Linked DNA regions of Oryzias latipes. The protein of the gene in region 3 interacts with the protein of the main gene of each other region in a pairwise test. Links are inferred from orthologs where the notes say so. Each region holds a gene or a part of one and is shown on either strand. Other genes may lie near its edges.

Region 1 (2,930 bases), on a different chromosome or scaffold from region 3:
GGCTATTTGGAAACATGCATGATCTCGACATCTAGGGTTAGAAACCTAAAAAAAATGAGAAAAAAACCCACACAAATTGCACTTCCTGCGGAAATATGTTTGAAGGTGTTAACTTGAATTGAACTATAGGCAGAAATGACGGTTGGATAAATTGCTGAAGTTGTTTGCAAAAGTTATTGTAGCTTGAGATGTAAAGCTGTACAAGAGTCTTCCCATAGTATTGCACCAAATTTGTAAAACTGCAGAAAAAAAAACACGTTTCCACATTGTAAAAAACAAAGTTCTGAAAGAAAAACGAGAATTGCACAACACAAACTATTTTAGGGGGCTGTCTCCATCTAGTGGTGGTTGGAATAATTACATAGACAAAATGAAAAAATGTAACTTATAAAACAAAATTGTATAAAAATGAACATTTTAATTATTTGGTCAATATCAGCTACCTGTTTAAAAAAATAATGTACTTCAACGCATGTAACCCATTTTCCTTTTTTAGCAGTTTAGACTAAAGAAAAAAAATAAACACCTCCATTTCAATGTGGCATTGTAAAAGGGACTTAAGTATGGTGTTGGATTATATTCACATCTGTAGCGGAAAATACTATAGATGTGATTTTATGCAAAATAACTCACAAAAACATCAACTAAAAACACATACTTTATTGGAGACCATCAGGGGACACTTTTGTACAAAAATACACAACTGTCAAGTGGATGTTTCGAGTCAAGAATTGTTCAGCTTTGTCTTTCTTTAAACCTCTTCTGCCCATTTGCATGCAGCACCAATGTAGGATAAGCACCAACTCTCTGAGACTTACTTTTAATTATATAAAATAACAAATCCAACAAGCAAATGTCATTTGCCATTGGGAAGAATGTAGGATCCAGGATTCTTGAGTCTGGATGAAAATGACGGGTCCATTCTCTTAACTATCAGGAAGAACGCTGAACTTTTGAAGTTCCCAAAACAGCAAGAGGAATATTTCTCTTCATATTTCACTTGGACTTGGGACCTTCCTTCCCCCCTTCATTGGCCTTTTTTTGCTTCTGTTGCATTATTTCTGCATCCCTGAAGAAGAAGAGATGAAATCAAGACAAAACATTTTTCAGACAAAAGAAACATTTCACTTTTTGCAGCCTTGATTGGATTCATAATGATACCCCCTGTGCCAAAATAACAACTTATGCAAGAATGCAATGAAATAAAGAGTTTACCTCTGTTTCCGAGCAGCAGCAGACAGTCCATCATCGTTCCTCTTCCCTTTCGTCATTTCTCCTTGTTTTTTTGCGTGCTTCTGGCGTGCAAGCTCACGTTGGTTACCTCCTGCACCACAGGGACACCAGACAAGCAGAACAAAGGTAAACAATAACACATTAATAGAGACACACCCCTCACACGCCTAAAAAAACAAACAAAAAATCTTCTCCAGACTAAAAATAAGAGTAGCCAAAGGGGTGTGTGTTTTCTGGTGTTTTAACGCGTTTTACACGGAGCCAACGCTAAAGGCAGCAATAGAGACAAGATGAAACGCCAGTAGTAGTAGGAGTCGACGTGGCAAATCATCTTCCACTACAACCATCGAGCTAAACCATATATATAAAAAATAATACAACATACTAAAATGTATTGTTAAGCTTTTGTTGTTGTTGTTTTTAAAATAAAAATGACGAGCGATTACTGACGTTTTTAAAATCCGAAGTATGCGTTAGCTATAGGCCACGGCTTCGTCTAACACCCGGAAAACTAATATCGACATGAAACCCGATTACGTAACACATCAAGTCGACACGTACCGGAATCTGAGACAATAAACTGGGAACCAAAAGGTGGTAGATATCGTTATTGTGCTACTGTTATTTCACAAACATTGTCGAAAACGTTAGATGGTTCCGTCTATTTACTGACACAGAAGCTAGACTGGCTTTGTTTAGGAGCTACAAATAAAGACCACACGCAGTCGGGAATATATACAGCATGTTAAAGCAGATATACATATCGCTACCTACTGGTCATTTTTTTTCCACTAACGACACCTCTTTTGCCTTAAATCCAGATACGCTCAGCCAAAGGGCCGCTGGCTCCCTTCTCGACGCCCCAGTCGCTGTGTCTGCTGTGGTCTTCTGCTGTGGTTGAGAGTTGCGACCCCTTGTGGCCGCTAAAGACGGTACTTCCGCTTACGAACCAGAACATTCTGTTATGATCAAGTGATCATGCGCATGCGTCAACGTCAAGAGGTTTTTCTTTTTACTTGCAGTCACAAGTGTAGAGTCCAGAAATGATAATTCAGCATAAAGATGGTCAAATAAATGTATTAAATACGATGCAATGATTCTGAAACAGGAATTCTGGAAGTCTAGCACTTATGCTTAACCAAAGTAACATAATTTTAGATAGGAGGGGTTGACAGTAAAATGTTAGAAAATAAGGTCAATTTAATTATTAAACTAAATAAACAAGTTTGTTCAAGACTTTTTACTTTTTAGGGTAAGTGTCTATTTTATAATATGATAAAATATAAAAAAAATATTTTATAGCATTCCATTGTAATCAAGTGAAAGTGTGCCAATTAATTTAGGTGAAGAAGTGTGTATCATAAGATATTTGGACACTGAGGTGCAGAAAACTAGCTGTGGTAATAGGAACATATACATCAGTAACATATAATTAGACACCAAAAAGGAAAATAGGTCTTAAGATAGATAATCCATGTCTGTCTATTTGTGATGCCAGCCCTAGAAAATGTGAATCAACCACAAGTAATGCAATAAAGTACAACTTTATTGCATTACTTGGGTTTTTATGCATGAAACATTTTTTTAACAATAGTATTTTGCAGAATTGACAATTGAAAAATATCCACCCCTCAAAAGATTTGGTAAGCAGGTTAAACTAAACAAGAGCACTTAAAAAAATAAATGTTGCCATTTTT
Region 2 (3,758 bases), on a different chromosome or scaffold from region 3:
ATGAAGATTTTTTTGAATGTCTTTAGGTCCCTAAGCAGCAAATCCTTAAGCAGCTCCAATCACAGGAAAAAAAAGTGTTGACAACACAAAGGTCTATTTGTGAGCTCCTGATGTAACACTAAGTGATTCTAGCTTTTAAAGGTTTGACAGTTTAATAGCTCCATTATACAGCCAGCTAAAACTCAACAATGCCACACACCAGCTTAGATGACAGGACAGATGAAGACCACAACAGGCTAAATTCTAAATCTATACCTTTGCTTTACATGTTTAAAACAAATATACATGATTTTGAGCCGGGATAGCACATGTTTCAATTAGGAAATATGCTTATTTTATAGGAGGAGTTACAAAATACTATTTCAAGTTTAAGACGGATGTGTCAAAACACGAACCGAAGTGATAAAAACTAGGGATGTCCTGATCAGGTCACATGATCAAAAAATTGGGCCCAATTAACACACTATACATCCCAAGCTTATTATTTCAAAAAATGCCCTAGTAGAAGTCTGTATATCATGAACGGATCACGACTCTAGTTTGAATAGGAGTGAAGAACAAAAACATTTTGGTAAAGTTAGCAATATATTCACAGATTCAGGCTTACGGGCTGAATAACTCTCTTAAGCGCTTTAAACTAACAAAAGGTGTCTCTATCAGTTTGTCTTAAGCCAAGCAATGACCTACAAAGGCATTTCAATCAATTTTTTTCCCTCTTTAATATCTACTCTAGCAAAGAAACCGCTGCCAAGGGACCGTCTACAAAGTGAAAGCTCCAGGAAAAGTGATTAAAAAGAATCAAAACAAATAAATGGTTACATTGATATGAACTAGTCATGAATACTCATCATATTCATGCTGAAACAACAATTTTGGAGGAAAGTCATTGTTTTTAATTTTTGGAAATTTTTAATGGAACAAATCAAATCATATATGTTTAAAAAAAACGATCAATAGTTCTAAAGACACTAAAGATACAGTAACCAAACATTCTTACAAGGACTAATTATAAATATATAGTGCACTTTATAGTGCGTTCACCATTTTGTGAGGCTGTCCAAATCTACAAATCCAAAATCGAGTGGCCTAGAAATTTCCCAGAAGTCATTGATGCAGTGTGCATCAATGCTTACTAGATTGGCAAATATAGACCATTATGCATTGCGTCTGAACAATTTTTGCAAGATAAAATGTATTTAAATCTGTTTTCAAATAAAAATTCAACATTTTCATCATCAGAACACAGTGGATTCATAAACAGTTGTTGTAGAACACTCCTATCAATTAGATTTTCACTTTGTGAAATCGGTTGTCATATTCGCTGTTAGCAAAAAAAGTATTGAGCGTGGTGTCTGAATTACTTTTAAAAGGGCACTACATAGTTTACTATATAGTTTTTAGTAGTTAGGGATTAGGGAGGGAATTCGGACACAGCCTAAAGTTTTTTTTACTTTGGCTAAAAATGGCATGATTGTAATTAAGGGACTTCTAAGAACGTTTTTGAACCAATAAACAAATGATCGGTGTCAAAATGTAAAAGAAAGTTAATAAAATAAAAATAGAGGAGAACCTCGATTAGTTTATTAAAATGTTCATTTATTTGATGCGTTACAAACATATCAGATTGGGACTCATTTTAGGGAGATACTCAAAATCAAATGAATCAAACAAACTGGTGCCCAACACAAATCTAACTGGGACTTTCCTACTAAATAAAAGTTGTAACAAATTTATAAAGGTAAACCCATGTTGATTATGCATTTACTCTATTGTTTTCTGTAGGATGGAAATGTATATTTTAAAGCATAACAGGTTTTAGGAAAATAAATAATGATTTTAAAATTGTTTGACAACAAAACATTCTTTTTATCTTGATATATTATTATCCTGCAGCCTCCTGTACATTTCTCAGAACCTTGGTGGTTCGGATGTATTTCTTCTATCAGCCCGCGGCACGCATCGGTCGGGGCTGCGCTGCTCACCACAGATAGCGAGCAACGCCAAAACAGCAAAGGTTGGACAAAAATGGTCACACAGTCAATACAAGCCAAAGACACCATTTTGAAAATCCCCAGATTTTTTGTGCAACAACCTCCAGAAGCTGCCAGTTAACACGAGACGATCAATCAACACGCGTGAGGTCGAATCATTGGGAAACAAAAGCGCTGGAAACGGTTGAACTCTTATCGAAACGTTAGCTTTCAAGCTAGCCCGAAAAAGACAGCCGCTAACCGGCCGCTGCATCCCCGCATCCATCGGTGCACGCTGCTCACGTCGCTAATAGCAGGCTAGCCGATAAATTACCGGACAATTGCAGGAAAAAAACTAACAACAATAACATGGCTTAAATAATGTAAACATGTTTAAATATTTAGATTCGAAACCTATAAGCATTAACGCACATCCGGTGCATTTAGTGTGTCCATTTAGTGTCCGCTATTATCGTTAGCATTTTTAGCTTAGCCCGCTAGATTCCCACTAGTCACCACGGAGGACAATTGAAGGGAAAGGGAGGGGGAAGAAGTCAAAGAACGCAGATATAAAAAGTCGACCTATGGACATTTCTGCCCTCCACGACAGCCAGCAAAACGGGACTCACCGAAACCACTCGAAAACAAAGACTTCTCGGCGTGCTGCGGTGCGCTCGGTCGGTGAGGACTGGTTCTTTCTGCTCGGCCAGTGACGCTTGGAAACAGCTTTCAACCGGAGAGACGGCCGACGTGTGGGGGATGGGGATGCACCGCCGAGAGGGAAGGAGGGAGGGATGCTGGGATGCAAGCAGAACGGCGGGGGGGACGAGGCACCGATTATGAACGGCGGAGGGGGTCCGATCAGCGGATCAATGCGCTCCAAACCACGAGGAGAATGGGAATTTGCGAAGTCACATTTTTTGTTTTGTTTTAATAATAAAGACAACATTATGGGGGGAAAAAATCTTAGGTTAATACTTTATTATTGTAAATAATTAGTAATACATACTATATGAAGCGGCAACATACATGCAACTGCTTTTGGCAAATTATATTATAATATTGTTTGCATTGTTTTTTTTTCTGTACAAAGAAAATCTGGACGTAGTCTATCTTTCTGTCTTCATGTACGTTTTCTACACAGCAAGACAGCGCCGCCATGTGGTCATAAACCAGGTTGCTCACGAATTGTAATTTGTTGATTTCAAACAATCACATTTTCTTCAGAACTGGCTTAATCCTTGGTGGTATGTATTCAACAAGGTGCTGGAAACATTCCTCAGAGAGTTTTGTCCGTATTAACATGATAACATCACGCAGTTGCCTCGGGTTTGTTGGCTGCACATCCATGATGCCAATCTCCCGTGCCACCACCTCCCAAAGGTGATCTATTGGGTTGAGATCTGGTGACTGTGGAGGTCATTTGAGTCCAGTGAACTCATAGTCATGTTCAAGAAACCAGTCTGAGATGATTCCAGCTTTATGACATGGTGCATTATCCTACTGGAAGTACCAAAAGTAGAAACTGTGGTCATAAAGGGACGGACATGGTCAGCGACAATACACAGGTACACTGTGAAGTTGAAAAGATCCTCAATTGGTACTAAGGGACCCAAAGTGTGCCCCCACACCAGTGCACCACCAGCACCAGCCTAAACTCTTGATATAAGACTGGATGGCTCCATGATTTCATGTTTTTGATGCCAAATTCTGACCCTACCATCCAAATGTTGAAGCAGAGATGGAGATTCATCAGACCAGACAAGGTTTTTCCAATCTTCTATTGTC
Region 3 (3,758 bases):
TTAAGTCCTCGCTCGTCTGGATGGCGTCCAAAATGCTTCCACATTAGATTCCTCTGGCCATTACTCTCCCCGTCTCTCTTACGAAAAAAAAAAAAAAGCAACTCGAGACAACTCACGTCCGGTGAGTCCGCTTGAGTACTACTTTTCCAGCCGGACGCAGGTCGAGAGAATCATTTTTCTACTCGCGTCAGGACTGTTGGGTCTCTTTGATGTCCAACGTCACAAAAACACTGCCGATTTAGCATAGGTTCAAAAGAGGAAATCTAACCTGAGAAAACCTCCATTTGAAAGAGGGAAAACATGAAACCTGGGCCCCTTTAGGATAAATCATTCAAGTACAGTTTTCTCTATTCCAACAGAAGCTCTAGACCCCCTTTGTTTTAGCAATCCAGAGGTTATCGGATGGGCCAAAACTAACTATCGATTGCTTAAGTCGTTTGTTAACCAAAAACACACAAACCTTTTTTGCCCCATTGATAAAAAGTGATCTTTATTACTATTTGTCCAGTAAAAAAAAAAGAACAACCCAGAGCTCTTCTAAATAAAAATACACTTTTTTTTAAAGGGTTTCGGGAACTCTTGAGGGTACAGAGACCTCTGTCACAAAAACACTAATGAATAGGTTCAAAAGGTGAAATCTAACCTGAGAAAAGCTACATAAGTAAGAGAAAAAACAAACTTGGAACACTTTGGGACAGATGACTCAATATTTTCCAACAGAAGCTCAGGACACCTCTTGTTTTTAGGTATTGGGAGGTTATCTTATTGACAAAAGCCAGGTATTGATTCATTAAGTAGTTTATTACCTAAAAACACACAAGCGTATCTTTGTCCCATTGATAAAAAGTAATCTTTATTACTATTTGTCCAGAAAGAAGAAAAAAAACCTGAGCTCTACCACATAAAAATGCATTTTTTTCAGGGTTTCGTTAACTCTATGGGGGTACACAGACTCCACAGTAACCAACAAAACACAGTCTTACATCAGTTCGAGTGTGTTGGGTTATTATCAGTCAGTGAGTAACATTCTGCTGAGTTTTAATCAAATTACTCCAAGAGAAATAATCTGATCTACCTTCCTCCCTTCCCTCGGGTGCAGAGGCGGGTTCTGAAACAACAAAGAGCTCGTGCAAATCGGTTCCAAAACCGAACCAAAAAGACGCGGATGGACTCGAACCAAGGTCAAGAAACCGAGCGTTTATCTTCTGACAAATACACGTTAGTGTGTTGTGTTTAGATCCAGATGCGGGACGAGGCTCCTGTTGTTTGACTGTGAGGTAGGATTACATAGAGTCATTGCCTACATGTTGCAGCATTAGTTGTTTGAACTTCAATGCCTTGCTCATCTTCAGTGAGAACTAAGTCTCCCTGACTGCATGGCTTTTCAGTAAACTGTAGCCCACAACCTGCCTTCAAATTAAGAAACAGTCATGTTTTAATGAGTAAAGCAATTATTGCATTAAAGAAGGGGCCGATCTCAAAATGAAATGCATTTTTTTTAACATTTTCACCCATAAACCAATTTTCTTTGGTCACAAAAACCTGTTTTCACCCAAATTGCAGTTAAAACTGAACCAGGACGAAACTTTCGTTTATAAAATTTTACATTATAACTAAAAAAAAAGCTGTTTTTCATGAAAAAAAAAATCCACTTTATAGAGGGAAAATGGGTATAAACGTACATTTATTGATTGAAAAACGTTATGTTTCAGCCCAATAACAAAAGAGAAATAAAAAAAAAATAAAAAAAAGGTTAAAAAAAAAAAAGAAAATATAAGGGAATGACTGACATCTAACTTTAATGAAACCATAAGGATGTTAAGGTCAAACATCTGGATGTGACAACTTTTAGTAGGATAAACTCGACTCTAATTGACTCGGGTTCACCTTAACAGGTAGAACGCGGGTGGCCGGGAAGGCTAAAGCGGCTACACCGCCTAACAAGTAGTTCTGGCGTCTGATTTAAGGTGGAACCGCGTACCTCCTCTTCGTGGTTGGTGAATTCAGTCGTCTCGTTCTCCTTCTCGGTTTTGTTGTTGTTCATCCTGAGCCGCACTCGTGTCGCTCTCGCTCGGGACGGTCGTCTTCTGGTCTCGGTCTCTCCTCCTCGGCTCCTTCGTTGGATTCGACAGGACAGGCAGTCCGCGCGCGCGCCCGCTGTCCCACTGACCCGAGCTTCCTTCACTTTTAGTTTTGCCACATGAATCCCACTAAATGCCACCCCCCGTTCCTTCCTTCTTCCTGCCTGCCTCGTGTCTTTACCACTCAAAGCGGGGTGAGGTGAGCCTGCGGGCGGGTATTCCTCAGCATTCCCTGGAAACCAGAAGCCCCTGTCTCCTCAACAGTCAATGCTCGCTGGACCGAGCCGCAGGCAAACTTCTCTCCCCATCTCCGCGCGCGCGAGGGAGGGGTTTAGGGTGGGGTAAGGAGTGGGATGCGCCGCAGCCCGATCAAGATTTATCAAGTAGCCTCGTGGAGGGAGAGCTTCAGTGGAAAATCAGTATCAGTCAACTTTAGGACCAGCTGCGTGTTATTTTAGTCCCGGCAACATTCCTGAGATAGTCTTTCAATGTGCTGGCTTATTTATTTTATCAGGGACAATAGGTTGAGTTTCTTTTTTTTGTTGTTGTTGCTCCAAAGAAATGTATGAAATATTTCTACATTATCAATAAAGAAATTTTCAATTTTAGAATAATTGTGTCAACCGTGTAAAGCTTGTCGTCCTGGTTATCTTGTTCGATTATTATTTTCAGATAATCAGTATTATGCTATACATTTTTGAGAATTTTAAAAATTCAAATCGTTGTGAATCAGGAGATGAAGATCGTATTTGTGATGTCAGAAATACGCTGGGTGGGCGGCTCCGTTCTGACGCATCCCTTGTAGACGACTAAATCCATGTACGTCTTGGTATGGTTGTATAGCTGTAACACTGCTTGCCATTTTTCTTGCACTGCTAATGTCAGGTTGGGGGTGTGAGGGGCTTGTAAGGTAGTGGGAGAGAGTGTAAACAGAGAGCTCTCAACAACGGGGAGGGTAAGGGGGAGCGGGGTTGCTCCATGCCAGCAGTCCCGCCCACATGTCAGAGGGGAATTTCTAATGAACTACTGCCGCTTTGCAGAAACTATGACCAAGAAACCAACACAGGTTTTTTGGTTTTGGAAAACGGTACAATCATAATTAAAAGACCACTGGAAACGCTTTAAAAAGAGCTCAAAAGATGAGCGGATGGGTCTTTCAACCCTTTAACATCGGAGATTTCGCTGGCAACAGCTGAACAACACACGCCCTTTGATAAGGGCGAATCCCAATTCTTCCCCTACCCCTACGGCTTCTCCCTACCCTTCCAATTGTAGGGGCTTTTGGAGGGATAGGGTTGTCCGAAATAGTTTTTTAATGGCTAACCCATGGCTGCGGAGGGATGTCGAGCCCTAAGTAATGACTTTTTCCTTTAGCCTGACGTTTTACATGTTGTTAGGTATTTCCGAGCACCAGCTGCTCCGTGCTAACGTAGCTGACCAGCGACTGTTCATGATGTTATTGAATGGGAGTAACGTCCGAATTTGAAGGCATTATGTTTCTATAACTCTCCGTCTGGGGGACTAAATGTAGGGGTAGGGGAAGAATCTGGATTTGGCCTAACTCTATGATCGTTTACCAAACCAATGGGAATCAGCTAAATCTGACATGGAGAAAAACAGCTTTTCTTTTGGGCTTTGCACAAACATGCAACACATTATAGTAAAACGGCGCAAAGC

Evidence for each region.
Region 1: the proteins of RNA-binding protein with multiple splicing (region 3) and serf2 interact in a two-hybrid assay, tested with the Homo sapiens proteins (2 studies listed by BioGRID and IntAct). The two-hybrid records come from large-scale screens. The link is inferred for Oryzias latipes from reciprocal best matches to the Homo sapiens genes RBPMS and SERF2.
Region 2: the proteins of RNA-binding protein with multiple splicing (region 3) and fam168a interact in binary tests that used the Homo sapiens proteins (3 or more experiments, as listed by UniProt). The two-hybrid records come from large-scale screens. The link is inferred for Oryzias latipes from reciprocal best matches to the Homo sapiens genes RBPMS and FAM168A.

What each region holds. Positions count from the first base shown.
Region 1 is NC_019861.2:26,947,568-26,950,497, forward strand, and holds serf2 (small EDRK-rich factor 2), read right to left. Parts: upstream 2,147-2,930; 5' UTR 2,015-2,146; coding exon 2,008-2,014; intron 1,325-2,007; coding exon 1,216-1,324; intron 1,070-1,215; coding exon 997-1,069; 3' UTR 641-996; downstream 1-640. UniProt on the Homo sapiens protein: Positive regulator of amyloid protein aggregation and proteotoxicity. Induces conformational changes in amyloid proteins, such as HTT, driving them into compact formations preceding the formation of aggregates.
Region 2 is NC_019871.2:20,750,990-20,754,747, forward strand, and holds the start of fam168a (protein FAM168A), read right to left. Parts: upstream 2,726-3,758; 5' UTR 2,600-2,725; intron 2,015-2,599; exon of another isoform or gene 1,220-2,014; intron 1-1,219.
Region 3 is NC_019876.2:8,063,162-8,066,919, reverse strand, and holds the start of RNA-binding protein with multiple splicing, read right to left. Parts: upstream 2,404-3,758; 5' UTR 2,045-2,403; coding exon 1,982-2,044; intron 1-1,981.